Arabidopsis thaliana: one gene and its partners. The protein of the gene in region 1 interacts with the protein of each later gene in a pairwise test. Each region holds a gene or a part of one and is shown on either strand. Other genes may lie near its edges.

What was found.
Region 2: the proteins of SK42 (region 1) and AT2G04080 interact in a protein complementation assay, tested with the Arabidopsis thaliana proteins (one large-scale study listed by BioGRID).
Region 3: the proteins of SK42 (region 1) and ZF14 interact in a protein complementation assay, tested with the Arabidopsis thaliana proteins (one large-scale study listed by BioGRID).

Annotation. Positions count from the first base shown.
Region 1 is NC_003070.9:21,432,020-21,442,997, reverse strand, and holds the start of SK42 (shaggy-like kinase 42), read left to right. Parts: upstream 1-6,894; 5' UTR 6,895-7,121; coding exon of another isoform or gene 7,122-7,161; exon of another isoform or gene 7,162-7,485; coding exon of another isoform or gene 7,486-7,571; exon of another isoform or gene 7,572-7,628; 5' UTR 7,629-7,745; intron 7,746-8,025; exon of another isoform or gene 8,026-8,029; 5' UTR 8,030-8,120; coding exon 8,121-8,261; intron 8,262-8,389; coding exon 8,390-8,482; intron 8,483-8,567; coding exon 8,568-8,627; intron 8,628-8,701; coding exon 8,702-8,974; intron 8,975-9,345; coding exon 9,346-9,420; intron 9,421-9,990; coding exon 9,991-10,047; intron 10,048-10,126; coding exon 10,127-10,267; intron 10,268-10,358; coding exon 10,359-10,409; intron 10,410-10,591; coding exon 10,592-10,687; intron 10,688-10,978. Other genes in the region: PUP18 (purine permease 18), read left to right, coding at 126-1,298; AT1G57980 (Nucleotide-sugar transporter family protein), read left to right, coding at 2,266-2,305, 2,410-3,554; PUP17 (purine permease 17), read left to right, coding at 4,109-4,148, 4,240-5,396; AT1G57906 (F-box protein), read right to left, coding at 6,188-6,748, 7,122-7,161, 7,486-7,571. UniProt on the Arabidopsis thaliana protein: May mediate extracellular signals to regulate transcription in differentiating cells.
Region 2 is NC_003071.7:1,355,143-1,366,120, reverse strand, and holds AT2G04080 (MATE efflux family protein), read left to right. Parts: upstream 1-6,717; 5' UTR 6,718-6,961; coding exon 6,962-7,207; intron 7,208-7,295; coding exon 7,296-7,840; intron 7,841-7,934; coding exon 7,935-8,021; intron 8,022-8,101; coding exon 8,102-8,158; intron 8,159-8,234; coding exon 8,235-8,679; coding exon of another isoform or gene 8,680-8,709; exon of another isoform or gene 8,710-8,743; coding exon 8,744-8,794; 3' UTR 8,795-8,965; downstream 8,966-10,978. Other genes in the region: AT2G04090 (MATE efflux family protein), read left to right, coding at 1,431-1,685, 1,761-2,305, 2,384-2,470, 2,683-2,739, 2,813-3,051, 3,130-3,335, 3,424-3,468; AT2G04070 (MATE efflux family protein), read left to right, coding at 10,331-10,576, 10,664-10,978.
Region 3 is NC_003070.9:21,646,973-21,657,950, reverse strand, and holds ZF14 (MATE efflux family protein), read right to left. Parts: upstream 4,964-10,978; 5' UTR 4,790-4,963; coding exon 4,628-4,789; intron 4,271-4,627; coding exon 2,834-4,270; 3' UTR 2,512-2,833; downstream 1-2,511.

The DNA of each region.
Region 1 (10,978 bases):
CGCACTTCTCCTCCTCAACCATTTATCAAAACTAGAAACCACTATATAAAAAAATCCACAGAGAATGAAATTTACATATTTTCAAATCTTTAAAAGTTGAGACCAGAAGAAGAAGAAAAAAAATCATGGAGATGACCGAAGCTTCCAAACAGACAACAGCAGAAGGATCAGCAAATCCAGAACCAGACCAAATCTTGAGTCCGAGAAGATCGTTGGAGCTAAAACAAAAGAAATGGTGGATCTCTGTTTCTTTATGTATTTTCTTAGTCTTGCTCGGAGATTCTCTAGTCATGCTTCTCTTGAACTTCTTCTATGTTCAAGACAATCGAGAAGATAGTGACCAAGATCTACAATACCGAGGAACATGGTTGCAAGCTCTGGTCCAAAACGCTGCGTTTCCACTACTCATTCCTCTGTTTTTCATTTTCCCTTCACCAAAACAAAACCAAGAAACCACCAATACTCGTTTCCTCTCTTTTCGTCTCATCTTACTTTACATCTCTCTTGGTGTTCTTGTTGCTGCTCACAGCAAATTGTTTGCACTTGGGAAATTATACGCAAACTTTGGCGTCTTCACGCTGATTTCCGCGACTCAGTTGATATTTACCGCTATTTTCGCAGCCATTATTAACCGTTTTAAGTTCACCAGATGGATTATCTTATCGATAATCGGCAGCATTTTGATTTATGTTTTCGGTAGTCCTGAATTTGGAGGAGAGCCTGATGAAAACGAAGAATTCTACAGCATCCAAGCTTGGTTAACTTTCGCTGCTTCAGTTGCTTTCGCATTATCTCTCTGTTTATTCCAACTTTGTTTCGAGAAAGTGTTGGTAAAGACAAAGAGATATGGTAACAAGAAAGTGTTTAGAATGGTCATAGAGATGCAAATTTGTGTCTCTTTTGTCGCAACGGTTGTTTGTCTCGTGGGTTTGTTTGCGAGTGGCGAGAATAAGGAACTGCAAGGCGATAGCCACAGGTTTAAGAAAGGAGAAACGTATTACGTTTTGAGTTTGATCGGGTTGGCATTGTCGTGGCAGGTTTGGGCGGTCGGGCTGATGGGTTTGGTGCTTTATGTTTCGGGTGTGTTTGGCGATGTTGTTCATATGTGTACTTCACCACTTGTGGCTTTGTTTGTTGTGTTGGCATTTGATTTCATGGATGATGAGTTTAGTTGGCCTAGAATTGGTACTTTGATAGCAACAGTTGTGGCTTTAGGATCTTACTTCTACACTCTGCATAAGAGAAACAAGAAGAAGATGGTGGAGCTTTACCAAACAGAGAACAATATTGACGTTTAGTCTCTCATGTCAAATGTTTGTTTCTGTTTCAAAATATGTTGTTGTTCTTCTGAATGTTGTAAGTCAATGTCTAAAACATGTTGTATAGATCTGAAAACTATGGAACATATTTGTTAATTATTTTGATTTGATTTTTTTTTTGTATTTATCTCTTACAATATTTTGTTAATGAGGATTTGTCACTACAATTTATCTCTTACTTTCATCAACAAAGTATTGTAATAACTAATAAATAGATACAAAAAAATCTTTCTCACAGCTGGTTAACCTGGGTTCACAAGTCTTTTCCTATATATAGGCTATAATTTTTACGTTGTAAGAACAAAAACCCTTAGTTTCCTTCCTTTCCTCTAGAGATTTATTTATAACTCTCCTTGGATCTTCAACATGTCATGCCACATTGCCACTCAAGAGAGATATTTTTCACCCTTTTATCTTTTAGCTCTTATGTGTACTTGTTCTTGATTTGGTTCTAAGAGAAACTTTTGTGGTTCTTGAAGGAACCTGTTAGAGATGTAAACTATTTTATGAGATGATCTTATGTTTATGGAGATATATATAAGAGCTTTAAATGATCTTTATGTACTTTTGCTTATTTGATTAATGTTTTTCAATATGTGTTTTAGCATGACCATAAGTGAGTAGTCTAGTCTCTATCATGATTGACAGTTTATTAGGTTAACTTATGTTTAATACATGATTGTTAGGAATAAAATTATAGCCTAGTGATGTCCTCAAGGACCACAACTGATGAGTCGTTTTCAAAGTATACCAAATCTGATCTGTCTAAAGGATCGCATGGTTTTGTATAAGTTTTAGTAATATTTCTAATTATTATAAAGAATTTAATCACCACTAGCTAGTCATTGTTTAATGTGCCTCTCCTCAATCATTCTCAATAATTGGAAAATCTACAGGGAATGAAATTTACATATCTAAATCTTTAGAGATCCACCAGAGAAAACTCATGGAGATGACCGAAGCTTCCAAACATACAACAACACATGGTAACTTCACTGTCTTAACTTCTGTAAAAATTGTTTCTATTCTTATTGTCTTCTTAAAAATAAAAAATAAAAACTGAGAATTCCAAATTTTCTTTAACCAACAGAAGAATCAGAACATGTTCAGAATCCTGAACCAGACCAAGTCTTGAGCCAAAGACAACTGTTGCAGCTAAATCAAAAGAAATGGTGGATCTCTGTTCTAATATGTCTTTTCTTAGTCCTGCTTGGAGATTCTCTTGTCATACTTCTCTTGAACTTCTTCTATGTTCAAGACCGTCGAGAAGATAATAACCAAGATCTACAATACAAAGGAACATGGATGCAAGCTCTGATCCAAAACGCTGCTTTTCCAATCCTCATCCCTCTCTTCTTCATTTTCCCTTCACCAAAACCAAACCCTGAAACCATCAATACTCGCTTCCTCTCCATTCGTCTCATCTTGCTTTACTTCTCCCTTGGTGTTCTTGTTGCTGCTCACAGCAAATTGTATGCACTTGGGAAGTTATACTCAAGCTATGGCTTCTTCATGCTGATTTCAGGGTCCCAGTTGATCTTTACCTTGATTTTCACAGCTATCATTAACCGTTTCAAGTTTACTAGATGGATCATCATATCGATAGTTCTCATTCTTGTGAGCTATGCTTTTGGTGGTCCTGTATTTTCAGGAGAGCCTGATGAAAATGAACATTTCTACGGCATCCAAGCTTGGTTAACTTTCGCTGCTTCAGTTGCTTTCGCATTATCTCTCTGTTTAGTCCAACTTAGTTTCGAGAAACTGTTGGTGAAGACAAAGAGATATGGTAACAAGAAAGTGTTTAGAATGGTCTTAGAGATGCAAATATGTGTCTCTTCTGTCGCCTCGGTTGTTTGTCTAGTTGGTTTGTTTGCGAGTGGTGAGTATAAGGAGCTGAAAGGCGATAGCGAGAGGTTTAAGAAAGGAGAAACGTATTACGTTCTGAGTTTGGTCGGGTTGGCTTTGTCGTGGCAGGTTTGGGCGGTCGGGCTGATAGGTTTGGTGCTTTATGTTTCGAGTGTTTTTAGTAATATTGTTCATATGTGTGCTTCACCACTTATGGCTTTTATTGTTGTGTTGGCATTTGATTTTATCGATGATGATTTTAGTTGGCCTAGAATTGGTGCTTTGATAGGATCAGTATTGGCTTTAGGATCTTACTTCTACACTCTGCACAAAAGAAACAAGAAGAAGATGGTGGAATTTAACCAAAGTGAGAACAATGTAGAAGTTTAGTCTCTCATGTCAACTGTATATTTGTGTTTCTCAATCTGTTCTTGTTTCTTTTTCTGATTCTTGTAAGTCAATGTCCAAAATATGTTGTATAGATATGGATCAACTGTGTAATTTATTTGTTGATTGTTTTAGTTTGATTTTTTTTTCTCTGTTTTGCATTTATTTGTAATTTTAAATGTTTTAAGTCTGAAACTATAAAATTTATAACCTCCAAAATATTAATTTTATTTTGATCAAATTGTTTAACTTATATTTTGTTAACAATTAAAACAAAAGTTTCTATAAATTAATAAAATATCATGTTCCAACATTATTAATTTATAGAGGTTTTAATGTACGTTTAAATTAAGTAATTAACCTTGTGTAGCGGTGTATAATATATACAGTAATACCTTTCCGGGTTTTGACTAGTACCAACTCTGATCTGTCAAAAAGATTTCGTACGGTATAGTGGAAAGATCTTTTCTAATTGCAAGATAGAACTAGTCATTCCACAGAGAATGAAATCTGCATATTTAAGGGTGTTCAGACTTCAGAGGTACCAGAGAAAACTAATGGAGATGTCCAAAGCTTCCAAACAGACAACAAGACATGGTAATTATTTCAAATTCTTATCATAAGTTTTATAATATTGTTTCTGTACTCGAAAACAAAATAAAAACTAAATATTTTCTTTAACAACCAGAAGAATCAGAACACGTTCAGAATCCAGAACCAGACCAAATCTTGAGTCCAAGAAGATCGTTGGAGCTAAAACAAAGAAAATGGTGGATCTCTGTTTCTTTATGTCTTTTCTTAGTCTTACTCGGAGATTCTCTCGTCATGCTTCTCTTGAACTTCTTCTATGTCCAAATGAAGCAAGACCGTCGAGAAGAGTATGACCAAGATCTACAATATAAAGGAACATGGACGCAAGCTCTGATCCAAAACGCTGCGTTTCCTATTCTCATCCCTCTCTTTTTCATTTTCCCTAAACCAAAACAACACCTTGAAACCAACAATACTAGTTTCCTCTCCTTGCGTCTCTTCTTCCTTTACTTATCTCTTGGTGTTCTTGTTGCTGCTCACAGCAAATTGTTCGCACTCGGGAAATTAGTCTCAAACTATGGCATCTTCTCATTGATTTCCACAACACAGTTGATATTTACCGCTGTTTTAACAGCCATCATTAACCGTTTCAAGTTTACTAGATGGATCATCATATCGATATTACTCACTATTGTGATTTACGTTCTCGGTACTCCTGACTTTGGAGGACAGCCTCATGACGGCGAAGAATTCGGATACAACATCCAAGCTTGGTTAGCTTTCTCTGCTACAATTGCTTTCTCATTATCTCTTTGCTTAATCCAACTCGGGTTCGAGAAACTCCAAGTGAAGACCAAGAGATATGGTAACGAGAAAGTGTTTAGAATGGTCTTAGAGATGCAAATATGTGTCGCTTTTGTCGCCTCGGTTGTTTGTCTCGTGGGCTTGTTTGCGAGTGACGAGTATAAGGAACTGAAAGGCGATAGCAAGAGGTTTAAGAAAGGGGAAACGTATTACGTTCTGAGTTTGGTCGGGTTGGCTTTGTCGTGGCAGGTTTGGGCGGTCGGGATGATAGGTTTGGTGCATTATGTTTCGGGTCTTTTTGGTGATGTTGTTCATATGTGTGCTTCACCATTTGTGGCTTTGTTTGTTGTCTTGGCATTTGATTTTATGGATGATGTGTTTAGTTGGCCTAGAATTGGTGCTTTGATAGGAACAGTTTTGGCGTTAGGATCTTACTTCTACACTCTGCACAAGAGAAACAAGAAGAAGATGGCGGAACTTAACCAAAGTGAGAACAATGTTGAAGTTTAGTTTCTCATGTCAAGTGTTTGTCAATCTGTTCTTGTTATTCTGATTCTTGTAAGTCAATGTCCAAAATATGTTGTATAGATATGGATCAAACTATGTAATTTATTTATTAGTTGGTTTAGTTTGATTTTTTTCTTTTCTCTGTTTTGCATTTATTTGTTACAATACTTTGCTAGAGGAGTGAATCCCTATATATTTCTCAAGTAGACTTGATTGTTAACATCTATGGGGCATCGAGACACCAATAAAGCCACATCCCACTTGATGATATAAGCTGCACCAAGCTCTTATGCCTTTAGGCTCGTACCTTTCCTATATAGAATGCAACGTAAACGTCTTCCCCAAGCAACTCAAATCCAGAGGCTGATGAGAAGAAGTCTTTTATATGCTTATTTGTTTTGTATATCTTCCATGGGTGATCATTCCTCTGCAAGTGGTTTATTACGTCGATGAAAGCCAGAAATATACCAATAGGCCATGCACATTTCGGTTACAGAAGTGGCACTCTTCATATTACTAGCTGGAGAAGAAAGGTTTTCGATAGAGCTTAACGGAAATGGTAAAGTATGGTATGAGATAGAGATAATGTTATCACATTTCTTGTCACTCCTCCAATATCCTTAATATAAAGAAAGTAGCTCTAGCCTAAACAAGATTCAGAGAAACCTAGGAACAAACATTTGGAAACAACTCTGCTCAGAACCAAACATCATCAAAGTACTACCATCGTCTAGCTTAAACACCTTAACCTCTACTTCCTTTTCATGGACAAAGTATATAGAATTCGGTACGCATCAATAGTACTCATGAGCCATAACCGAGAAACAAGTATCAGTCGCCATCACAACCGCACTATCTCTCAAGGACTTAACTTCAACCCACTTCCCTAATTCCTCATCAACCTTATAAACATTGAAACCAACCATTTTGGGACATTCTATTTCCACCTCTTGGTCCACATTGCATTTTTCATTCCCAAAATCGTCATGTATCACATTAGAAATCCGAGGAGCTACACCAACATAAACATTATCATCCAAGTCCAAGTAATCAGCTTTTCTTTTCAAGACATTCTCTTTAAAAAGACGATCAACAATATAAAGCTCTCCACAACATGCAACCAAGCTTAAGTCTCCACCACATTCATTAGTAAGTGAAGTTCCATACCTAACGATACTAATCCACCAAACAATGCCTTTCGTATCCAACACGTAAATTAGCTCTTTGAGAACAATAATATCAGAGAATTCACCAATCTGATCTTTGATTCTAGTCCAAATCTCTCCATTCCAAAACCTAATCTTCCCATCAAACCCTATTCCAAAAACTCGATCTCCTCCCGCAAGAACAACTTTCTTAAACCCAAAAGCAATGGACCATTTCGGTTTAACAATAGATGTGATTTGGTTTAGCTTATCAATTAATTTTTTTATTTTATTTTAAAATAAATATATATTTTAATTCTTTTATAAATCTCTGATTGGTTGGTTAATTAATTGTTTGTATTTCCCTTTTACGAATTTAAATAAAGTAGATGTTACAAAAGAAAATGAAAATCTCTGAAAAACTCTCCTGATTCAAAAGAGTAAGAAATCTACAAAAGAAAACCACAGAGAAAATCTCTACTGATCAGTTTCTCTCCATTGGTGATCGCTCGTCAGAAAAATTGAGCTCGATTTTGTATAAATTGAAGAAAAAGAAGAAGATCATCAAATGCGTGATTTTTACTTTTCCGTTCAAGGTAAATCGATCATCTTCGGCTTCAAGCCTGAAGATAGCGCTTCGAATTGGTTGAATTGTGTAATTTTGGAGGAAGTTAAGGTTCTTGCAGTAACAACTGCTTTACTGATTTTTCTGGTTTTTTTTGTAATTGTAGAAACTGAGTTTAAGGACAAGCTTTGTCCCTTTTAGTGGAATTTAGATCTGGTTTTGTCGTAATTTCTTCTGGGTTTCAATTCTAGTCTTCTGTAGTAGTATCAGTGTTGTGTTATCACCCACTATTTCAAAGTTTCAATGAAATTTTAATACCAAGTTGTTGACTTTTCTGTGTTTCTATCTGATCATAATTAACTTCGGAAGAAATTATTGTGACCTCAGAAAATTAGGTAGCTGATTTGATTCTTTTGTTTTCTCAATTATTCTCTTGTTAATTTCATTGTTCACATAGAAATGGTTCATATTTTCTGCTAATATGTTTCCTCTTTCATTTCAATTCACCATATTTCTTCTTTGTAGTGATTGATCAAGGGAACATAAGCAGCTAGAGACCACACCACTCAGTTATTTCTATCTCATAGTGCTTGTGGATGTTCAAGCTATAAGAATGTGCTCGGTGGTTCTATGAATATATAGGTATTATGCGTTATGTTTGGTTTGTAGAATATATTCTGAGAAGGTGATAGGATGGTCGATTTGCTAACTTTATGTCACTTCTGAAAGTGAGTTTGCATGTTTCTCTTTTCTCTTAAATCTGCTTTAAGTGTTAAGATATTTTGTTTTGAATATATTTGGAAAAACCAGTGACTTTGGTATTCTGTTAGCATGTTCCAACGATCTAAATTCTGTGGGTATATACTCTGGTAATTGCTTATACTGTTTTTGCTTTATGAAAACGATTTTAATATTCTACTAGGAAGATTGGTGTTTTGATGGGATGGGACACCAAATTGCTAAGGTTTATGGTGTTATCAATTACTAGTACGTGTTATCTTCCGAACAACCACCACCATGGAATCTCATCTGGGAAATGGAGTAGGCAGTTCGAGATCTGCCAAAAATACAAAGAACACTTCTAGTTCAGTTGATTGGTTGAGCAGAGATATGCTTGAGATGAAGATAAGGGACAAGACAGAGGCTGATGAGGAGAGAGTAAGTTTTGCATCTCCTTTCTTAGGTCTTTATTTCTTTGTGAACTTCTTTAGCTTATCTTCCTTCTCATGCGCCCCTCTATTTGATGAAGTAGTTTACTTGAATTTGATGTTTTTGCCATGTTGCAGGACAGTGAACCAGATATCATTGATGGAGTTGGTGCAGAACCTGGCCATGTGATCACAACTACACTCCCTGGACGAAATGGTCAATCAAGACAGGTTAGATGGTCATAGAAACTGTGTGTCTAGATTGTTAGTGAGACGTACTGATTCTTATACAACTGTTTTTAATTTTGATTGACAGACAGTCAGTTACATAGCAGAACACGTAGTCGGGACTGGTTCATTCGGAATGGTTTTCCAAGTGAGTAAGATTGTCTATCTTGTTGTTTTACCATTGGTTAAGATTCCCAAACATTTTATGTCTCCTTGTGGTAGGCTAAATGCAGAGAAACTGGGGAGGTTGTTGCCATCAAAAAAGTTCTACAAGACAAGCGTTACAAGAACAGAGAATTACAAATTATGCAGATGCTAGACCATCCGAATGTTGTTTGTTTAAAGCATAGCTTCTATTCAAGAACAGAAAATGAAGAGGTTTATCTAAATCTTGTCCTTGAGTTTGTTCCCGAGACTGTCAATCGTACTGCCAGAAGCTACAGTAGAATGAACCAGCTGATGCCATTGATATATGTCAAACTCTACACTTACCAGGTGATTATTTCCTGTTTCTGATCTTTTTTTGTTTCTCTTTATGTAAGCGTCATAAGTAATCACTCAAAATTTAAGCTATATTCAGTTTCTTGATATGTGTCAGCTGGTTTCTTGTGGTTCATTCCATAATGGATGTTGGAGATTTCCTCTTGTTTTGCTAGATAGATTGTAAACCAGAAGGCAAAGTTCCTATCATTTCTGATACTATTGTACTTTTCCGTTAGAAGTTGGAACTATTGAACATAATTGATTGTCTCTATATAAAAGAAGTAGTGCTCAAACGTTTGTTGAACACTTAAGTGTGAATCGGGCCTGATAATTTGTTGGACATTCTCCAATGATTTTTGAGGATTTTATGTTAATGGCTACAGATTTGCAGGGGGCTTGCTTACCTTCATAATTGCTGTGGTCTTTGTCACCGTGATATAAAGCCCCAAAACCTGCTAGTAAGTTCCAATTTTTTCTCACTGAAAAGAAGTTGATGATAGATTTCACTTTCCTGTAAGCTACTTTTGTTTGAATTTTTTTTATATAGCAAGGTCTTTGTCACCACACATAAGGATTTTAAAGGCATTTGTGTACATAAATATCAGACAGTGTTCTTTAATTCTACAAATTTGATCATTATATAGTAATGACATGATGATATTTCGTTATTACATGCCTGGTGGGATTAAGCAATGAGGTTATGTATGCATCTCGCTAATGTTTATTTCAACCTCAGAGTGGTACTGGGCTTCTGTTCTGTAGTTAATTTCACTTGCTATTTGTTCAAGTAGGATGTTAAAATCTAACTTTTCGGAAAATAGTTTTGGTTTTTAGCTGGTCTGTTCGTTGGTTTAAATATTTAGAATCCTATTTTCTTGTGATTTCACAAGGATTGAACTTGTTCCATACTGTTTCAGCTGTTAGGCTCACCATACCTGCAATTGACTAGAATTTGTCATAAACAAATGTTGCCTTGTTTTTATTAAACAATCTTTTATTTTTTTCTTTACACCTATTGTGATGTGCAGGTGAATCCACACACACATCAGCTGAAAATTTGTGATTTTGGGAGTGCAAAAGTGTTGGTAAAGTTTATCAGCTATAGCTCTTAGTGGTTTAGTTTTCCTAGTCCATGCTTAGATTATGACGTGTCATGGTCCACAGGTGAAAGGAGAACCCAATATTTCTTACATTTGTTCAAGATACTATCGTGCCCCAGAGCTCATTTTTGGAGCCACCGAGTACACAACTGCAATAGACATATGGTCCACAGGTTGTGTGATGGCTGAACTGCTGCTTGGACAGGTTGGAGCACTATATTTGCATTAGCTATATGCTTGTTATTCTATTTCTTCACCCTCTTACTCATTTTTGCTCTCGCGGACTTGTTTTACAGCCTCTGTTTCCTGGCGAAAGTGGAGTCGATCAACTTGTTGAAATCATAAAGGTAGTATTTTTGCTATCAATTCTTTTAGGGTTAGTTGTATTTACAAAGAAAATGACATCTTTAGAGCTGGCACTGACTAATAGTTTCTCACTGCTGATTATATTTTTTTTATAAAACTTTACCACCATTTTTGTAGTAGGACTCGTACATTCTCTCTTCATGGTTTTTTAATTGTCATGCAGGTTTTGGGTACACCAACAAGGGAGGAGATCAAATGCATGAATCCAAACTACACAGAATTTAAATTTCCTCAGATAAAACCTCATCCTTGGCACAAGGTATACCGCTAGTAGTATCAATTATCACCTAATAGGGTTCTCTTAATCGATATATGACCAAGCTTGTCTCGGTTTAGTGAGGTTGATTGAAGTATATGTGATCAATTAACTTCATATTTCATTCCTCTGGCATATAGAGCGATGTGACAGCTTTGCCTTTGTATATAAGATTCTTATACAAACAAATAAATTGAACCTTTGCCAAAAGGAATTACTCATGCACACACTCGTGGGGGTTGAAAACAGTTAGGCTTCATGATCTTGGCTTTTTTGCTGGTTTAAGTTTCTATC
Region 2 (10,978 bases), on another chromosome or scaffold:
GACTCTCAAACTGACCGACACAAATCGATACTATTGAGTGTTGAGCAAATACTAGATCCCCAATTTTGATACTTTTACGCCTACTTCTTTTGCATGCGTGGATAGGAAACATTAATTTACATATATTGGTTTTTCAGAAAAATATAGTAAATTTTTTATTAAAACTAAAGAAAAGTGTTTGAATATTTTATTTAACCGCCATATTATGTAGATAACAATGATACATTGATACCATATCGAGTTGGTGGATGTAACTTTGTTTTGCCTATGCAAATAATTTTGATACCAAGGTAGCCTAAACTGTCAATAAATCATATAACTTCTACAACATGTTAGCATGATTGTCAATGTTGTTATTATGATGCTAATTATGTTAGCATATAGATTAATACATGATCACAATGTTATCTCTCTGCACACTGCGATCGATTTTTAATATGGATTTATCCAGTACAAATTCGACAATAGTTGTTATTTCGCAAATAGATGAATTATTGAAGAAACATGAGATTATGTTGCATTAAACATATATGATTTTTTGTGCAAAAGCTTTGTTTCTATTCAATCACTCAAAACTATTACAAGACTTAGGAGAATACACATTCTCAGTGTTTGAAACGACAAAGTTAAAAGCAGTAAACGAAAAAGTACGATAATCCAACGATAGATCCATAATTACTTTCATACAAGAGTTGTAGAACACAATGTCACATGCCAGAAAATGGTAAGTCGGAGACAGTACCACGAAAGATCTGAGAAGTGGTAGATTGGTCATAGTCCATTAACATAATGACGTTGAAAATGACTTTGTAGCCTCGAGTCTCGCAGACACAAGACACTCTTCACAATACGATAGCAAGGCAATTAGGAAAATCAAGCGATTTCTCGGCTTAAAAACCGGAAACCAAATACGGACACTCGTTATAAAAGTTCTCTCCATAAAGGAGGAAAGTGAGATAAATGTTCTCTCTATAAAAAAGGAGACTGAGATATATGTTCTCTTCATAAAGGAGGTGGAACCAAAGTTTTCTTTGGGAAGTTTGCACACCGTGGACCCTCAAAATCATGCAAGATTACACGGTGACAATATTGAAATTGTCGACCCTCGCACGGTCTTCTGAAATAAGCATGTGACATATGGCTTGCTTCAGAGTGTAAACGGTGAAGATGATATATAGTAGAAACAACAGAGGCCGGAAAATGCGGGTCGACGAAATTTATTTTTATATTACACTTATTTTATGATTTTATATTTTAATGATAAATATCATATTATATCAAATCATGATTACATGATACTTTGGACTTATATGAATACATAAGTATATAAGAAAGAATGTGACAGCATAGATTATTGATTGTATATTTGTATAGTATAGTAAGATCGTTAAATGTTTCCTCTCTGAAGTCGTGCGTTTACAAGGAATTTAATGGAAGATCCACTTTTATTGGGAGATGATCAGTTAATCACTAGAAACCTCAAGTCAACGCCGACATGGTGGATGAATTTTACGGCGGAGCTGAAGAACGTCAGCTCTATGGCGGCGCCTATGGCCACCGTGACAGTGTCTCAATATCTATTGCCCGTGATCTCGGTCATGGTCGCCGGCCACTGCGGTGAACTCCAGCTGTCTGGTGTCACTCTTGCCACTGCTTTCGCAAACGTCTCCGGCTTCGGCATCATGGTAATTAGTTTATCCTCTGTTTAAACCACGTTCAAGATCCAAGCGAAACTTAACAAGTCTTGGAAATTTTTGCAGTATGGTTTAGTGGGTGCACTTGAAACTCTATGTGGCCAAGCTTATGGAGCAAAACAATACACTAAAATCGGAACTTACACTTTCTCTGCAATAGTCTCAAACGTACCTATAGTTGTTCTCATATCGATTCTCTGGTTTTACATGGACAAACTCTTTGTTTCACTTGGACAAGATCCTGACATCTCCAAGGTAGCTGGTTCTTACGCGGTTTGTCTTATACCGGCATTGTTAGCTCAAGCAGTGCAACAACCTTTGACTCGGTTTCTCCAGACTCAGGGTTTGGTTCTTCCTCTTCTCTACTGTGCCATAACCACCCTTTTATTCCATATACCAGTTTGTTTGATTCTGGTTTACGCGTTTGGTCTTGGAAGCAATGGAGCCGCCTTGGCTATTGGTTTGTCTTACTGGTTTAATGTCTTGATTCTTGCTTTATATGTGAGATTTTCAAGCGCTTGCGAGAAGACTCGCGGCTTTGTATCCGATGATTTCGTGTTGAGTGTCAAGCAGTTTTTTCAGTATGGGATACCATCAGCAGCAATGACAACGTAAAAACATTCATCTTCTTCATCGTTGGTGCATTCTTTTCTTTCTTGGCTTGATTTGTTTTTTGTTTCTATATGCAGCATAGAATGGTCGTTGTTTGAGCTCCTTATCTTATCTTCAGGACTCCTCCCAAACCCGAAACTCGAGACCTCTGTTCTTTCCATTTGGTAATCTATCTTTCTCTCTGGATCTTTGTCTCCCTTTTTACATATATGTCTAGTATATATCAGGAGGGATTGTCTTAAATATATAGGTCTAGACGTCTAGTGAGTAAATATTGGTTAATTAAATTAGATATAGTTTATCGAATTCATATAGACAGAATTGTTACGCTTTACTGATGCAATATTTTTGGTTGTTGTTGTTTTTTTAATAATAGTCTTACAACATCATCTCTCCACTGTGTCATTCCAATGGGTATCGGGGCTGCTGGAAGGTATGATTCCGATAAAACCGACTAAATATTTGTTTGGGAATTTTCAGACTAGTCACAATGTTTACTTTGGCAGCACACGGATTTCAAACGAATTGGGAGCGGGAAATCCGGAGGTTGCTAGGCTGGCAGTGTTTGCCGGTATTTTCCTTTGGTTCCTAGAGGCTACCATTTGTAGCACACTTCTGTTCACTTGCAAAAATATTTTTGGCTACGCGTTCAGCAATAGCAAAGAAGTTGTGGACTATGTCACGGAGCTATCTTCGCTGCTTTGTCTTTCATTTATGGTCGATGGATTTTCTTCAGTGCTTGATGGTATTAAGATCAAACCCTTCAATTAGTGAATGATAAAAAATCCTATCTCGCGACTCAAATATGACTTTTATGAAAAAGGGGTTGCTAGGGGAAGTGGGTGGCAAAATATTGGAGCTTGGGCAAATGTGGTGGCTTACTATCTCCTAGGAGCTCCTGTTGGATTTTTCTTAGGATTTTGGGGTCATATGAACGGCAAAGGGCTATGGATTGGTGTGATCGTTGGGTCCACTGCTCAAGGGATCATACTAGCTATAGTCACTGCTTGCCTGAGTTGGGAGGAGCAGGTCAATAGCAATCTTAAATATATTTTTGGACATTTGATGAATCTTTTTTTTACCCCATACTGAAGTTGTTTACAATTGGAAATTGCAGGCTGCCAAGGCCAGAGAAAGAATAGTTGGAAGAACATTGGAGTGAAAATCACACACTTTTAAACGTAACTGATATAGTTGTACTCCTTCCGTTTAGTATACACGAAATATAGAAGAATACATGGTCACACATGCCAAATATACACGAATAAATGTAAGTTTAAGGTTTTCACACACGTATTAAAAAACAAATAAATTTATTAGCTTAAACTTTGTCAATATATTTTCTATAAAGTTATTGATCAATACATTAAATCCGTGGGATAAAGCTGTAATGTATCAAACAATTGCATTGAAAATATAAAACAATATATATTTTAAAATAAATTTTTTTTTTAAAAATGACACTTAATCTTGTATGCGTTTTATCTTTCTAATGATTAAATATCTATGTATAAGTTTAACATCAAGTAAAAATTTGAGTGACTAATTTATGTTTGATTGGATTTTCCACAGTTTATCTTATAAACTGAACTCTCATATGGCTAAGATATTTTACTTTCTTTCATTTAACAGTTACGGGGCGATTGAATGTTCTTTTAACAAGGTCTGATTTGAACGGACATTAGTTTTGTTTATACAACAATGTGTTTCTCTATATACAGAATATAACTTATATATAGTAAATTGTTTATGTTGATCCCAGTAAAAAAAGATAAAAAGAGAAGAGATGGTGCTACTGAGGAACCAAGAAAGAACTGGAAGTCAACAATCAACTCATACTCATGTGTCTCTCCTTTTTAATGAGAGTGACTAACCAACGATTTAAAATAAATAAAAAGAGTGGTTCAAATGTAAATAATTCAAACTACTAAGACTTGGTGGAATTCATGTGAAGGAGACAAAAGTTCAATCTCATGGAGAAACAGAATTCCATTGAAGAAGAAAAAATGTGAATAACCCTAACTTTTAGAATGCTGACCTAATTAATGCACTTAATCAGCTTCGTAAACAGTTTCTACTTGTGAATTCTTGCCAACTTTTCGAGAACACCAGGATATATAGTTGAGAATAATGCTAGCAAATCGTCTAAAAGTTTCTAGAGTACATATCTAGATTCGTCTTAATAATGCTAAATATTTATCTTCAACAACATTGTTTTCATTTTTCAATACAATAAAGTTGAATTAAAATCATTTTTTTAATCTACTAAGACTGTAATTTAACAATATTTTTAAACATATTGTACTGGTTTAGAGGCGATTTATCTTGTTGGAAAAGAAGTTTGGAAGATTCTGTCTTGAGTTCCATTTCATTAAAACAAAGTCATCACATTTCTGGTATGTGAGACGAAGCTATGGTCCATGATTAACCCTCTATGATAGATTATGATAGATGTAGGGGAGTGATTTAGCACCACTCAGTTAACTCGACTCTAACCTCAATAAACAAAACCTTCGAAATGTTTTGTCGGGCTCGGCACATTTAGCGTGAAAATGAGTTTTTTTTGTGTGAAAATAGATAGATCGAGATTGACTTAACATAAAATGGAAAGATTGACTCGAAAATACTTTCAATATCATCAATATTGAGGAGGAGAAAAGAAAAAAATACCGAAGATAAAAATTTTGGAAGGAAAACATATTCGAAGACCTAGATGGAGAAGTATAAATACAAATGAGCAGTCGCAAAGTGGGGCATCCACAATTCGTCTCTAAAGATCCCTAGACATCCAAATTCACAAGAAAAAAAAAACTAACTTGTTATCAAAGTTAGTTCAATCTCTTTGTAATTGTATCAGTTCGTTCTTGAGCTTAATAAATAAAATTATTTCCGCGACACTACTTCCCTTAATTAAGCTTGCCGGTTTATATGTGCAGATTTGACTCACACAATAGACATTAGACAATATAGTATGTTTTTGAAATATATTTTTTGAGGTTATTTCATGATAAGTAATACTGCAAAATATAAATTTTTCAAACATAAATTTATACATTGAACCTCATATCTATTTGTTTCTATTATTTAATTTATTTTAATGACAATGTGTTCTATACTATATTTAAATTTTAGTAAATAATTTTCTTAAATTATATAATTTTTCAATACTTTCTTAATAAACTTCTAGATGTGAAATAGTTTTATAAAAAAAAAAATACATATTCTGGTTATATTTTTTCATATAGAAAAGAAATGGTGTGATTCATATTTTTTCAAGTTTTCTAAGAAATCAAATAATGAGTAAGTCAACAAATAAAATCTCATATAGTGGCTAAGAACTTGAAGTCATTTAGTGAGAAGGAAACCAATAAAAAAATTTACCTATAAATTAAAGGGCAATTAAATGTAAGAACAGTTTAAATAATTAAAAATTATTAACTAAAGTAATGAATCTATTAATTAATTGAAAATAAATATATGTGAAAGAATATTTGTACAAAAAAGCAAATAAAATATCTAGTAGATATATTTCTGAAATAAGTATTTAGAAATTTAATTTTTTGTTTTACTTGATTTTTCAAAATTTTATACCAAAATACAATTTATTTTAATCTTATAATTTTATTTCTAATCAAGGTGTTCCAATTTCATTTCGCTAAATGTTATAGAACCGATCCCAATACGAACGCGAACCTCACTTATCAGCTCTCAATCTCTCAACTCGAAGTTTGTTTGTGTGAATCAAAGAAGAAACAGAGAACAACACACAAGAATTTGTTACCCAGTTCAATCTAATCTGTGTGATTAGATCTACGTCTGGAGCCAGATAGATCCGGCAATCCACTATATGAGATGTTTACAAACTTCTCTGAGCTCAATACAAGATCAATGAAGAACCCTAATTTTCTGGGTTTAAGAGAGATCGTAACAACTTTCTAACGGAATGAAGAAGAAGAAGATAACAGACTTCTATTTATATGTGTTTGACTTCGAGCATCGAAGCCTCTTTCAGAATGAGAGTCTTCCAATCATAACTTCCTTCTTCTGTAAACCAAAGCGAACCGTTTCAATAACCAACTCCAATCTGCTGTTAAACCGAATGTCATCAGACCAACATTAAACCGGAATTGGATCATATTCATAACATTATATCAAACAAGGAAAAAAAAACTATTCACTATTGTCGGCAATAATTAACTTTTTGAAAAATCGAAACAACAAGGCCACCACGTCTACAAAAATCAGAAACCAATTCATGCACATGATATATGTGTTTAATAAATATAATTTATATGGACCCTCTTAATAATATAATTTATATGGAGCATTTATTATTATGGGTACATCATATCATATCTGTTTTTACCTTAATAAATAGAATAACATTTTTTTCTGTGACACACATTGAAGAGAGAAAACTATTTGTCCCACAGTCAATTACGGGTCTAAAATTTGGTAGTAACAATAATACTTTCATATGCATATCTTAACATGAGAAAAAAATGTTTTCACTGGTCGAGCAGAGTTATATATATATTTAGATATTGACGAAAAGTCTTCATTGACAATAAATTACATTGGTTTCGTCCATCAGTACAAGATTGGATATGATCTAAAAAATCAGAGGCAAATCAATCAAGATTAAGAAGACGACAATGGAAGAGCCATTTCTTCCGAGAGACGAGCAGTTAGTCTCTTGTAAATCCACATGGCAAAGTGGTCAGGTCACCGTCGAGCTGAAGAAAGTGAGCCGCTTGGCCGCTCCTATGGCCACCGTAACCATAGCTCAGTACTTATTGCCTGTCATCTCAGTCATGGTCGCCGGCCACATCGGCGAGTTGGAGCTCGCCGGTGTCGCGCTTGCCACGTCTTTCACAAACGTTTCCGGCTTCAGCATAATGGTAATTATGCTATTACTCTCTCCTCTTCATTTCAAGAACTCAATTAACTTTCCAATATTGAAATATTGCTGCATTCTTTTTTGTGTAGTTTGGGTTAGTTGGTGCATTGGAAACTCTTTGTGGCCAAGCCTATGGAGCAGAACAATACGAAAAAATCGGAACCTATACATACTCTGCAATGGCTTCCAACATACCAATTTGTTTCATCATATCAATTCTATGGATTTACATCGAAAAGCTCTTGATCACTCTCGGGCAAGAGCCTGACATCTCTAGAGTCGCTGGCTCCTACTCATTGTGGCTCGTACCGGCTTTGTTTGCCCATGCTATTTTCTTACCACTGACTCGGTTTCTGCTAGCACAAGGGTTGGTTATTTCCCTGCTATACTCTGCCATGACCACCCTTTTGTTCCATATTGCGGTTTGCTGGACTTTGGTTTTCGCGCTTGGTCTTGGAAGCAATGGAGCTGCTATTGCTATTAGTTTGTCTTTCTGGTTTTACGCTGTGATACTCTCATGTCATGTGAGATTTTTCAGCTCTTGCGAGAAGACTCGCGGATTTGTATCAAATGATTTTATGTCTAGTATCAAGCAGTACTTCCAGTACGGAGTCCCATCCGCTGGATTGATTTGGTAAGTAAACCATTTTCACGTGTCTTGTTGGTTAAGTTACAATACACCGATGCTTCCTCTTATCTTGCTTGCATTTTTTTGTCTTCTTTGATAGCTTAGAATGGTGGCTGTTTGAGCTACTCATACTCTGCTCAGGTCTTCTCCCAAACCCAAAACTCGAGACATCTGTTCTTTCGATTTGGTAAGTATCATATTACTTCTTTTTATCCTATGTGTTCTCTTTACCAAAATGTATTAATCTTATGTCTTTCATGTTATCAGTCTTACAATAGGAACTTTACACTATGTGATTCCATCTGGAGTCGCGGCGGCTGTGAGGTATGATCTCAACTCTCAAACCAGAACAAGTGTTCAACAATTCCTTTCTCAACATTAGTCATTTGGTTTCTTGAAGCACACGAGTGTCAAACAAATTGGGAGCTGGAAATCCTCAAGTTGCTAGGGTTTCCGTATTGGCAGGGCTTTGTCTCTGGCTTGTAGAGTCAGCTTTCTTTAGCACACTTCTCTTCACCTGCCGAAACATCATAGGCTACACATTCAGCAACAGCAAAGAAGTTGTTGACTATGTTGCTGACATATCTCCTTTGCTCTGTCTCTCCTTCATCCTCGACGGATTAACGGCAGTTCTAAATGGAGTGGCTAGGGGATGTGGGTGGCAACACATTGGAGCTTTGATCAACGTGGTGGCTTATTATCTTGTAGGAGCTCCTGTTGGAGTTTACTTAGCTTTCAGTCGTGAGTGGAATGGAAAAGGACTCTGGTGCGGTGTTATGGTTGGATCCGCGGTGCAAGCCACTTTACTGGCTATCGTCACAGCCTCCATGAACTGGAAGGAACAGGTTAGAGTTTGTTACATTCTAGTTTTTTGAATGCTCTGAAGTAACTGGACTCTATTATTTGCAGGCTGAGAAAGCAAGGAAGAGAATAATCTCTACTGAAAATGGATTGGTTTAAATAAAGGTTGTTCCTAAGAGCTATCTCAAAGTATTTGCAAGTCATGTGCAAAAAAACATGTAATGTTATTTTGATGGGTTATAATATTTTTTTGTAAAACTTTTATCCAGGATTTATACATTTTTTCTTGAGTTGATATTTTCGTTAGTTAGAAAAATTATTCGAATTGCACATGCTGAAAGATGATTTATTTATTTTCTTCAAACTTTAATATACAAATGTAACAAGTAAATAAAAACTCATTAGTTCCAAACACCATGGGATTAAAAATGGCCTCAGCTGCAATCAGTCCTATCTTTATAAAAAACAACTATGTGAGTCCTATCCATTATCCCAATAAGTCCACTAAAAATGGCCTGTATGGCACAACCAGATTTAACACTTAGTATTAACTTTAAAATTCACAAAAGAAAATAATCTCTCTTATATATGGTCCAAACATAATAACTTTACACTAATGATCCATAAGAGTTTTCACATACATGTTTCTTGACGTAAATCATTAAAAATATATAGATGAAAAATACTTATAGAAGATTCAAATTCCACATAGTCCACTAATGTTATGTCATTTAATTAGTAGGTTTAGTGGTGAAAACTTAATACGAATTCCTACCTTTTTATCAGCCTCAGCTGCACGTTTGAACTGTCTAGTTGTTATTTAAACCAAAAAAATGTTTTTGTTAATTAAGACATTTTTCCTTTTTAATATAAACTGTTAAAACAAACTGTCTCTTTTTTTTTTGTAACAATGTCATTATCTTTTGTTTAATCTATGATATGATTAGAACTTGATTCCCAAGTAATTATTCGAGTTGCCTTTGTTGTTTAGTCATAGATCATTGGAACGTGATCCCCAAGTGTATTATCATGTATTTCCAAAATGCTGATATTGGACGACTGTTGAGTGTTGACGACGACGTCCACCATTTGTATTTCAAAATGACCGAATTGTCTCTTTTGTTTGTCTTTGTTATTAGGTTATTGTGATATCTGACTTTTATGGAAGTAATAAAAAGTTTAATATACATGACTTTTATAACAGTTTTATAAAACTGTTATAACTTGTGAAGTTGTTAGAAGATTTTGTCATTTGCAAAAAACATGATGTATGTTCCTTTAACAATAAAAAACATGATGTATGTTCACCTTAAAAAAAACTATTGTTTTCCGGAAACTTATTAAGAGAAACTATACAACGTCATTGCTGAAAACTTTGATGTATAAACTTTAGTAATACTTTATACTTTATCATGTAGACTTTTATAATATACTTTTTGAGGATCTTCGTGGAAAATATAGAATTCCACTGGTCGAGCTAAGAGTCATGTAATTTGAATATTCTATTCCCACAATTTCCAAAAAAGAAAAGTCTACGTTGACATTGACATTGGTTTCGTCGTCTGTCTAGTGTCTATAAAAGATGGAAGAATGTCCGCATAAATTATAGACAATTAAAGTACTAGACAAGGCTTTCAACACAAAACAATAACAAACAAAAAATAAGGACAAAAAAAAAATTAACAACCTAAAACAATGGAAGAGCCATTTCTTCCGCAAGATGAGCAGATAGTCCCCTGTAAAGCCACATGGAAAAGTGGTCAGCTCAATGTCGAGCTGAAGAAAGTGAGCCGCTTGGCTGTTCCTATGGCCACCGTGACCATTGCACAGTACTTATTGCCAGTCATCTCAGTCATGGTCGCTGGCCACAACGGCGAGCTCCAGCTCTCCGGTGTCGCTCTTGCTACCTCCTTCACAAATGTCTCCGGTTTCAGCATTATGGTAATTATGTTATGACTACTCTCTCCTCTTATGTTCAAAATCAAGTTGACTCTGAAATCTTGATAAATACTTCAATTCTTTGTGCAGTTTGGGTTAGTGGGTTCACTAGAAACTCTTTCTGGCCAAGCTTATGGAGCCAAACAATACGAAAAAATGGGAACCTATACATACTCCGCAATTTCCTCTAACATCCCTATATGTGTCCTCATATCAATTCTCTGGATATACATGGAAAAACTCTTGATCTCTCTCGGACAAGACCCTGACATCTCCAGAGTCGCTGGCTCCTACGCCTTGCGGCTCATACCGACTTTGTTTGCCCATGCGATTGTCTTACCACTGACCCGGTTTCTGCTAGCACAAGGGTTGGTTCTTCCACTGCTTTACTTTGCCCTGACCACC
Region 3 (10,978 bases), 220 kb from region 1:
TGGCATTATAGATTTTTAATTATGATAAATACAATATATGAATTAACAACCATATGGTTGAACATTATTTGTAAAATAACCATAAAGATTTTTTTTTTTTTGCAAAATAAACTCTAGCGAGTTATTGATATATAGCCATATAGGTGGAAAACACATGTAAAACTTGAATTTGACGATAGCTAATTTTTCACGGATGAATAGAGTTTCGATCTCGACATGCTTGGTCCATTGGTGACCTAATGAATTTGAGGAAAAGTAGATGGTATATAAGTTGTCACAATTTACAAACACTATTGTTTTAACGTAAAAGAGGAATGCACGTTCCAAGTGGCGTCAGAATCAACAATTGCAACAATCTTGCATTTAACCTCTTTGTACTCAATCATGATATGATTAGTTGCTGCTTTGAGGAGCAGAAAATGAGATTTATCTCATGGTTGGAATCATGAGAAGATGATGTTGAAAAAGTAAGTAGGTGATAAATTGGATTGTAAAGCTATTATTTTACAATAAAGGGAAATCAAACGCTCATGTCTCGGCCGGGTGAGGGACCCTGCCTATTCTCTTTCTCCTCCAAACTCGAGCTTTACCACACGCGACATTTATAGACTTGACATCTATTAATTCGATTTTTCTTAGAACACAAACTTGTCTACGACTCTCTCTACTCTCTACGTATTATGAACTATATTTATATGTTTGTGATGCTTCATGTGGCTACAATTGAACGTTTGATCCAGACAAAAACAGTAAGAACATGTGATTGATGTACCTACTCCACTTTATTATTGCATACTTGCCATACTTATTCTAAGTATACATGAACATATATCACCTTTCGGATCTAATTCTATGATGTATAAAAATATGTCATATATTAGATATAATAAATGCTCACCTCCTAGGATAGTTTGCAGGGTTACTTTGCAAAATGAGAGAAAACAAAGAGTTATTTAGGGAAATGACAAGTATTTAAATTGTTGCGAACATAAGAGTAGTGTTAAAAAGTACGTAGAAAGAAAATGTAATGCATAATTATATCAAATGACCTTTAAAACACACTCCCTTTGTTTTGAAATAATGTATTTTCTTGAGTTGTCACTCACACATATGAAAAGTTGATTATAAAAGTATCTGTTTTTTTTTGTGATTTACAATTTTCTATAATTCTACTGATAGTATTCAATTAATTTTCTTAAAATTTATAGAGTCATCAATAATAACTAAAAAATATTACATAGAAAATTTAAAAACTCTTATCTTTTTGAAACAATTTATTTTCCTAACAAATATATCATTTAGAAATCCATAATATTTTAGCCAAAATAGCAAAATTCATAAATACCACTAAAAATGGCAAAATACGTAATAATCCTGTTTACTGTTAGTATTATTATTTTCTCATTTTACTATAGTTTTCCATATATAGATATAATTAACTGTGTACAGTACTGAAAAACAACTTCTATCTACAAAATATACTTTTTTTTTACCGTGGTTAATCATCTACGTTTGATATCTTTAAAATTTCGAAATAGCTTCACCAGTAAATTTAGAATGAGTATGATTGACCTCATAGTGTTTACCAATAAAAGACAAAAAAAAAAAAAAAAAAAAAACTATTCACGTGTAAATAATAACAAAAGGTAGATGTCCAAAACTTATAATATAGAATTGTCTTTTCTTTCGTCATAATTCAAAGGCCAATGAAATTCGAACTTTTTATCGATGGCCAATGAAAATCAAAGATATTTCAGCAAGCCAATGGAATTCAGTTTACTAGGCTTTACTTATTTTATTTCTTAAAAATATCTATAGAAAAGGAATATCAAAGGTTGAAAGGTAATTCATATCGTCGACACGTAGACGCATTATCGATTCCACTCAGTTTTATTTCATTTTCTTGTCATATTTGGTTTTATTCTTTGGCCACATCGCTGTGAAGTTCGTATAAATTCATGTTCTGGTCCCAGGACAAAAAAAAGTATACATAAAAGAAAAGATGCTTTCTCTCTGCTCAAAGGAAACAACCAAAATCAAAATAAATGTGATCTCAATTAAATTTTAAAACGTATCGAATCTCAATGGCTTTGAGACAAAGAATATGATAGAATTAAAGGAAATTGTTTTCCATTTTTGGCTACGAATATAATTTCCTTTTATGGAACATGGAACCACCAAAAGCTCAAAAATAAAACATTCATCTTGCCTGTCCTTAAGAAAAGAATTGATTGTTAAATAAGCAAAGCTTTCACAACACAAATACGAATACAAAATAAATTGCAAAAAAATTAACCTATTATGGAACATTTTTACTGTATCCTTAGTTATTCTGATTGTCTTCGGCCATTAGGTTTGATCTACTAGTATGGTCTTTCTCTAGATTTCAATGGCCTAGACACGTCTAGTATCTTGGAATCTTTTTATATATATATATATATATATATATATTAAAGTTGTATTGAGGTTAAATTTTTCATTTTGATTTATACTTAGTTTTTGTGACAAAAATAAAATAAAATAAATTTATTCTTAGTTTAACAAAAAAAATTCACATTCTCCTAGAAAATGGACAAATATATAAAGATAATCAAACCACGAGTTATTACAAAAGGGAACACATAAAATACAAACTGCTGAAGTCAAAGCTAATTAGAACTATCACACCAATACAACCATAAATAACACAAACACCACTAAAGCCCACAAAACAAAGTCGTTCTTAAATCAAAAAGTAGAAATTAAGGAGCACTATAAACTCCAAAAAATGATGACAAGAACATATATGTACGTCAATGTTGATGGCAAATGCCTCCAGAGAATAGCTATCAATCTAAACCAACATGGTTCTCATCATATCTTCTGTACCGGAGGTAGACCGGCTCTTTGAGCTTGCGATGGGGAGAAGGGGCGGAGACTTTCCGGGAGTTTGTGACGTCAGCTCTTCAGCTCTCTCGGCTTGGACTTTCCAATCTGTTCTCAAAAGTGCACACAACATGAGAGAAGCACAAGTTGCTTGAGCTGCAAGCAACCCGAACCAGAGACCTGGAAACCCTTGTTTGAAAACAAACCCAAACAGAATAGCGACTGGCATGCCCACAAAGTAAAATGAACCCAAGTTTATGTTGGCACCAAGTGTAGGTCTTGCACAGCCTCTTAAAACCCCACAACCGGTTGTTTGAGGACAGTTTCCGAGCTCACATAACCCCACAATGGGTAATGCGATGGAAGTCAGCTGAAGAATCTCTGCATCCGTGGTAAACAAGCGTCCCCAATGGTGCCTAACCAGCACAGCAAACACCATCGCCATTAGGCCTAAGGCGATCGCGCAGAAGAGTGAGATGATCATGGATACCCGAGCTTTCGCCGGACGTTTAGCCCCAAGCTCGTTGCTAATTCTTGTAGAGACACCAAGGCTGAGAGAGGATGGGAAGACGTAGACCAAAGCCGTCGTTTGGATCAAGATTCCCATGGAAGCCACGGTGGCTCTTGGGTTAGCCAAAAGTCCACACAAAATGATCATAAACTCGTACCACCACCACTCCAAACAAACAGATACACAAGTGGGTATGGCAAGTGAGAGCAAAGCCGACCAACCTTTAAGAGAGTCAATAGTAATTGGGACCCATGTATCACTATGCACGCTAGTGAAATACACAAAAGAGGATAAGAGGACTACAAGGTTGAGATTTGTCAAAACCATAGCTATAGCGACTCCCGCTACTCCCATCTCAAGTTTCACCACTAGGAGGTAGTTCAAAGGAACGTGGAGGAGAACGGACACGGCCGTGGAGTAAGTCACGGGCAATGTAATGTTTTGTGTTCGGAGGTAAATTCGAAGAGGGTGAAGCAGAGAGAGAAGGAAGAGGTCAGGGATGGCGAATAGAAGGAACTGTTGAGCAACAGAGGAGATCTCTTCATCTTGGCCGCACCATAAGAGGATTCGGCGCATGTTGAGCCACGAGAAGGAGATAGGGACCGAGCAGGAGAGGAGTAGGAGGACGGTTCTTTGAAGGGTTAGTCCTAAAAGCTTCATTTGTTTAGCTCCGTATGCTTGGCCACAGATTGGTTCCATCCCCATGGACAAACCGGAGATGACGGAGTAGCCGGTGATATTGGCAAAGCCTATGGAGAGAGATCCTCCGGCTAACTCAAGCTCACCGAGGTAGCCTAAGAACAGCATCGATATCATCGCTCTTGAGTACATAAGAAGCCCGGTCATCGCCGTCGGCCCAGAGATTTTTCCGATCGCCTTCACTTCCTCTAAGCCCTGCCGCCAGATAATTAAGAAAAGAAAAGTCAAGACCAAGAACCGTCCACGTCAGTAGATCGTTTTTTTCTTTTCCCTGGTTAATGGTTAATTATATTAATCAAATAAAGCTTATCTTAAACCTTTATAAAAAAATGACAAAACCAAATCACCAACCGGGACCAAAGATTTAGGTATATATATAAAAAGGATTGCGAAACTGTTGTTTCTATTTATATATATGTATATGTATATATGCTTTTGGTATAGTTCGTACAATCTAGTTTTGTCAAGAACTAGATTCTTGAATTATTATGTTCATATCTATGTAGAAAAAAACAAACATTTACGTATAGGAAAAAAAAAGAAATAATTTACCTCCAGAAAACTTGGCCATCTTTTAAGGTCTAGAGAATCAGTATCCCTGAATTCAGAATAATGAGGATTATCTGTATCACAGGTTTCGAGTTTTGAGATATGGGTTTTGTCTTTACAAGATAATAAGGAAGATGAAGCAGAAGATGGTTTTGAATTACACATGATTCTTAAGAGGAGTAAACTGGTTTTGTTGGGAGTAGAGATAAAAGGACAAAGAGACAAAGTCTAGAGCTTTTAGTCTTTTGGAGGCAAAACGATTTTATGCAAATGATAAAAGGAACCGAGAGGAACTAATATTTTTAATATGGAATTGGTTGGGCCTTTTGGAGGAGAAAGGCTGACTATTTATAGTTGTAAAGAAGCGATATCGTTTCTACACGTGGCGAAAATTAGTTTTAATTTCTTTTTAACAAAGAATTGATTTTCTAATAGGGAAGTGGGACTTTTTTTGTTTGCTTTGACTAAACAAATCGTGTGTCCACCAAATAAGTCTGTGAGAAGAACGACACACAGGTTTAGGATAGCTCAAGAGTTCACTTTTGAAGAAAGACATAAAAATTGGTTTAGTTAACTATTTTAAAATACATCGCATTACCTTTAATAATAGCAAATCTCTTTCCTAATCTTTAACTCAACTTTGGGCTTCACTATATATTGAACTCTTTCGGTTATGTCGGCTGGCGAATTCACAGTCGTCCTAAGTGCTAGAATATCAGGCTGTTGTTACCTCTTAGGCTGAGAGGATAAAAAGCATTTATTCAATAACGGTTGGTCACATAAGTTGATGGGGTTAGTACTTGTTTTGAAAAATACTTGGGTGAACTTTTTTATTCTAGCCAATCAAAATCTACCACCTAATAAATAATATTAAATTAATTTAATTAGAAAATATAATTTGCCATAAAAAAATTATATATCAGTTATAAGAAAAAGTTAAGATTTCAATTTTATGATTGATGAGATTGAATATCGGTTTGAGTTTATAAACAGATTTAAATTTTACAATTAAACAAGTTTAAATATTGATTTAGGTTTATAAAAGATAATAAAGGTTTTAAATTTTCTAATTAAACGAGATTATATATCGGTTTGGATTTATATAATAGTAGTTAGGATTTAGATTTATAATTAAATGAATTTTACATTTTTATGGCATTTATAGATATTGTATGCTATTTGACTCAAATTTTACGGATTTACAATTTTTATACACTTAACAATGTATATACATTTATGATTTGTTTTTGCTAAAACACATACTCCATAGCAAATATTAAAAACAAACAAAACCAACTAAGGTCGGTCCTATTAATATGCCAATTTTGCCTCTCTCTTTTTTTTTTTCCTTCTTTTTTCTTTTTTTTTCTTTTTTTTTGATAAAAAATGAAATTTTATATCATTTGTGATTTGTGACACAATTACAAATTTTATGCCATTTTGTTTTTCTTTAATTCCGCTGAAACATTTAGAAACAGAGGTCGGTCCTATTTTATAACTCCGAAAATTTTAAGGTTAGGTGTAATGATGTCAAACAGGAAACTGCACTAGATTAGTCTATATACTTTCTGTGAAGATAATCCTTTCTTTTTTTGCACTAACGGTTAATTTAAGTTTTCCTAGTCAATCAAGATAAAATTTAAGTTTTTCCTATGTCTAAAATATCAAATTATGCTGTAAAATGGCATGAGATTTAATTTAGCATTTTCTTCCAATTTCAAATTGCATGTCTATTGCAACTTTAGCATATATAATTTTAACATTTAGGTTTAATGAATATATGTAATGTAATGTAATGTTAAACACTATTATGCAGAAAATGGCTTGAAAGCATGTTCATTGCCACCATACCATGAAACCTAAAAACTATTTAAAATAAATAAATCTTTATAAAAGTAAATGTAAAATATTAATAGTAACTTATTTATTATATATAACTTATTAATGTTAAAATAGCTTGTTTTCTATCAAATGATTACAATTAATTAAAACGTTGTATCAATATTTTACCACAACATGCAATTTCATTTGTTGTATATGTTTTTGGCATATGATCATTTTCTATAAAATTTGGCGTGAAAAGGATCAAAACCGTTATCGGTAGATCAGCATTTCTATTGACCAAATTTCTCACGTGTATGCAAAAATATATCAAGTAGACTAAAGGTCTTATCGCAAATTAACCAATTCTAAATACTTTTCTTGTACAACGTAACTATAAATACTTTGTACAATTGTATGACGAGTTATTTATGGCTTAATATCTATATGGTAACATGTGTTGGGAGTCTGATGGTGAGGGAACGACATGTGGAGAAGAAGAGAAATTAAGGCAACGGAGAACAACTAGTTGACCTGCACATTTTGTGATTCATATACATAATACATGATCTGAAGCTATAATTTGGTTTTGGAGGGGGCAAAGTTTTTCCGGAGTTAATTTGGTTTTAAGAATATAACCTTTGTCTAGTAAATGAGGATCGTATAGTATTTGTACTAACTTGAATTTGAAAAATAGTTGTGCGTGTTGAGATGATCAAAATTATTAATTTGATTTTTCATGTATCACCAAAGTGTAATTAACTTTTTCGTGACTCATTTTGAAAAACCTACACATTAAGTGTGTCTAAGTTAGAGATATCTAAAGAAAATGACCTATTATAAATGATTATTAATATCATGAGATGTAAAAACACGTATTTTTACGTTTGTGGTGAAATATATGACCAATAACAAGTTTCTTAGAGGTTTCAAAAGTTTGACATCGGTGGTCAGACGTGGATGAAGCCTACGGGCTAGGAGTGAACAGAAAGGTCCACAAATAATTGTAGTCGGATCTTTCCAAGTGATATCATAACCAAACTTAGATGAGCGTCAAGCATTGTATGCTCACATCGTTTGAGGGTAATAGTAACATTTTTTTGCAATATGCAATACGTTTTATGAGTGAAGTGATTGTAAGACTTTTTTAAAATTGACGTTTGCATGTGGATGTCTAAACAATTGGTATTTTTTTTGATCGCAATTTTTTTTTTCATAACCTGTTCCTTTGTTAATTGTGTCTAAACTGTAGTATTATAGGATGGATGAACTATGATTTTCAGTACAACGTAAGTGAAAAAACACACACGGTGAAGTATCTCTTGGTGCTTTGAGGGACAAGTAAAGAAAATTTTCAGGTTTCATTGGCTGCCAGACGAGAATGAAAATTACTCGGTGACCTATATTGGACATTATGAACTAAGAATGAGATGATCAGAAGATTTTGAAGAAGAGAAGAAGGGAAACCAACAAGTGTACTTTTGGAGAAACGAGACTTATGATCTGCATTGATTTGTAAATTGACTTCTTGAATAATATTTAGTCCCTCTGTTAGTCTTGGATAAGTATGTTTGATAGGAATATTTTCCCTAGATCTAGGACTCATGTCCTTAGATATGTCGTTGGATTGACCCTCCATGCCACACCGGTTTGGTTGTTGGTATTAAATGAGAAGTTTGTGACATGGTCGGAATTTTTTCCGTTTTTGCATGTTGCGCTAATGTATATCCACATTGAATATGGTACTGACTAGGAATGTCTGGAAAAGATCTTGACAACATCTTCACGTCTACACACTTATTGAACTATGCATGTTTGGATTATCCATGGTATTTTTCTAGTCGGACTAACGACGTTTAGTTATTAATTCATGGAAAATTGCATGGTTCTTATGTGGAGACTTAAAAACATGTCATAAGAGCATGATCAACATTCAAACATTATATAATTAATGTGCATATCCAACTCTTTTGAAATGGACATTTACTCTATAAGACAGTTCACAAATGTTTTTAAAATGATCCGTGTCAATCAACATATAGTTTTGTTATATATATATTTTTAATTAAACTATTTTTTATTAGTACTTAATTCATATGCTGCTGATTACTTCTAGTAAATTGCATAACTTAGAATTACTTTGATTCAAACTCACCTAATGTTGGACTTCTTCTTAGGTTTATGCAAAGATAGATGCATCATTTTTTAAAAGACTCATTTTAAAATGGTAGATCTTTTTGGAAATATGAAAGATCCTTCTTTCAGTGTGACTAAGTAGTTCCAATTAGGGAAAGAGACAAAGGGCGTTATAGTAAAATGCTTGGAGAAGTGGTGGCTGTCTCGTGTTTCAAGGCAAAAACACTGCCATTTTTTGTTAAGTAGTGAGCAACAAAATCCATGTGAACAAAATCAACTCTCTTCTTGTCTGCACAAATATTCAAGTGTCAAGCATAACCCATAACAACCAGAGGACATGCTTCTCTCATTTTGTTTATCTTTCTGGTCCCATTGATTTGATATTTTTTCTCTTTCGCAATCGAAGATAAGAGTTATCTTGAAGATAGCAAGGTGACTGTAAAAGACAATGCAACGAGAAAATTGTGTTATTATCTTCGTGTGAGGCAAAATCCTTATCCAAGTTGGCTTCGGTTCTGAGGAACTCGTTCCATATTATTGGAAGTGACATACACCAGAAAGATTGGAAGTGACATAGTTGTTTGATATGAAGATGCTATGTTTTTTTATGTCTATTAAACCTAAGTAGGTTAGAACTAATTTAAATGACGCAACTAATTTTCTGTCTAGCATTTGAAATGTTCAACCTATAAGACATAAGAAGTTCGAGATTTTATATTGTCATTTAAATGATGGCTAGTCACAAAAAGAATTTTTTTATCTTCCACAAACTTTCAGGAGGTAACTTGTAGAATCTTACGATGACAAAAACAATATTAAGAAACAAAATCTTGGGTGTTGCTTGACTATTTGGACCCGTAGTCTATTGTTCAAATGTCCTTTGTGCATTGATATAATTCTAAATAAATGTCATGCATGTGGGTCACTTAGTTTTCATATGTTTATAAGTTCTAGATATCATTATATAGATTTTGACAAAACATATCTATAATAGTTGGATTAGGAACAGACGACGAGATCTACAATAGCACGTTAATGACAACAACATCTTCAATAGTTAACAAAAAGACAACATTTTTATTAGAAAACGAAAAAGAAGAATAAACTAAGTACTAGGTTAATTGTTTTCTATACATAGAGAAATTCTTAATGGTAGTGGTTAATTATATTGTCATTTGGGGTCCATTATTTGGATTCGACTAGATTCTAATATCTCTCATCATTACTAAGGTTCTAGATATAAGATTTGTGGAGCATTTTACGAAAATAATTTTTTTTTTATGAAAAATGAGCCATGCATTATTTACTTAGTTAGTTGTACGCGTAGCCCCAAGTTACATGTTGGGCGGCTATTAAATCTTACGTTCTGAAAGTATTGGTAGAGAAAAATGAAGTAGGAGTAGCATAGTGATAACATATTTGGGGATATGGGGTCAACTTGCTCTCTGCTCAGATTTTATATCATGAACCATGTGTAAGTAGGTTCACCGACCAGGCTTCTATAACACGTCATTAGTGTATGCAAGTGAGTAAGTTGGTGCAGTGAGAAATTCATGTTTTATTTTCTTGAGAGATGTATCATGTATGTATTCACAAGCCTTGTCATCATATGTCGACTCTTAACTATTATACAAAATCATGCATGTTTTTGGGAAAAAAAATCAAAGACGTGAAACCGATTATGTGTCAAAAATGGTAATACAATACATACATAATTGAGAGGAACACAAAAGACTAGCAAAAAGGTTATCTTTAAAAAATTTACATATGGACAGACTTTTATGAAGATTTAGTCTCATCCAAAATCTTCTACTATCTCTTTTCTTTTATCGTTTCTTCAGTTGGATATCGATATTTTTGTTATATATTATTTCTTGCTTTCTCTCTGTCTATTGTATCCTATGTGATTTCCATCTGTTTCTATGAATTTACACCGTAATTGGCTAATTCTCAAAAATTCCTGAAAATGAAATTAAACCTTGTTCTATTCAGTATTCACTAACATAACTTCGAACATTTCTAAATCGTTGTAAGATATTTACTTTCTTACTATACGTTTCAATCCTCGTCATCTCACTTTTTATGAGTCGGTATGCTTAAGAAATAAACGTAAGTAGCATAAAAATATAACGTATTAAATCGTCTTTAGTTTCTAACTTTGTATAATAGGTTAATAACCATATATTTATGTATGATATTTTAAGGTATAATAACTCTCTCCTTTTCCTAAAATTTTCGAGTATTAAAGATAAAGTATGATTAATTGAATGCTTCTAAAACTCTAGAATGTAACGTAAGAGTGACCAGCGAGTGGTATTTCTTAGCTTTTGTAGTCTCAGCAGAACTCCATAATAGCAGAATACGTTGCAGACATGCAGGTCATTCTTCTGCTTCAGT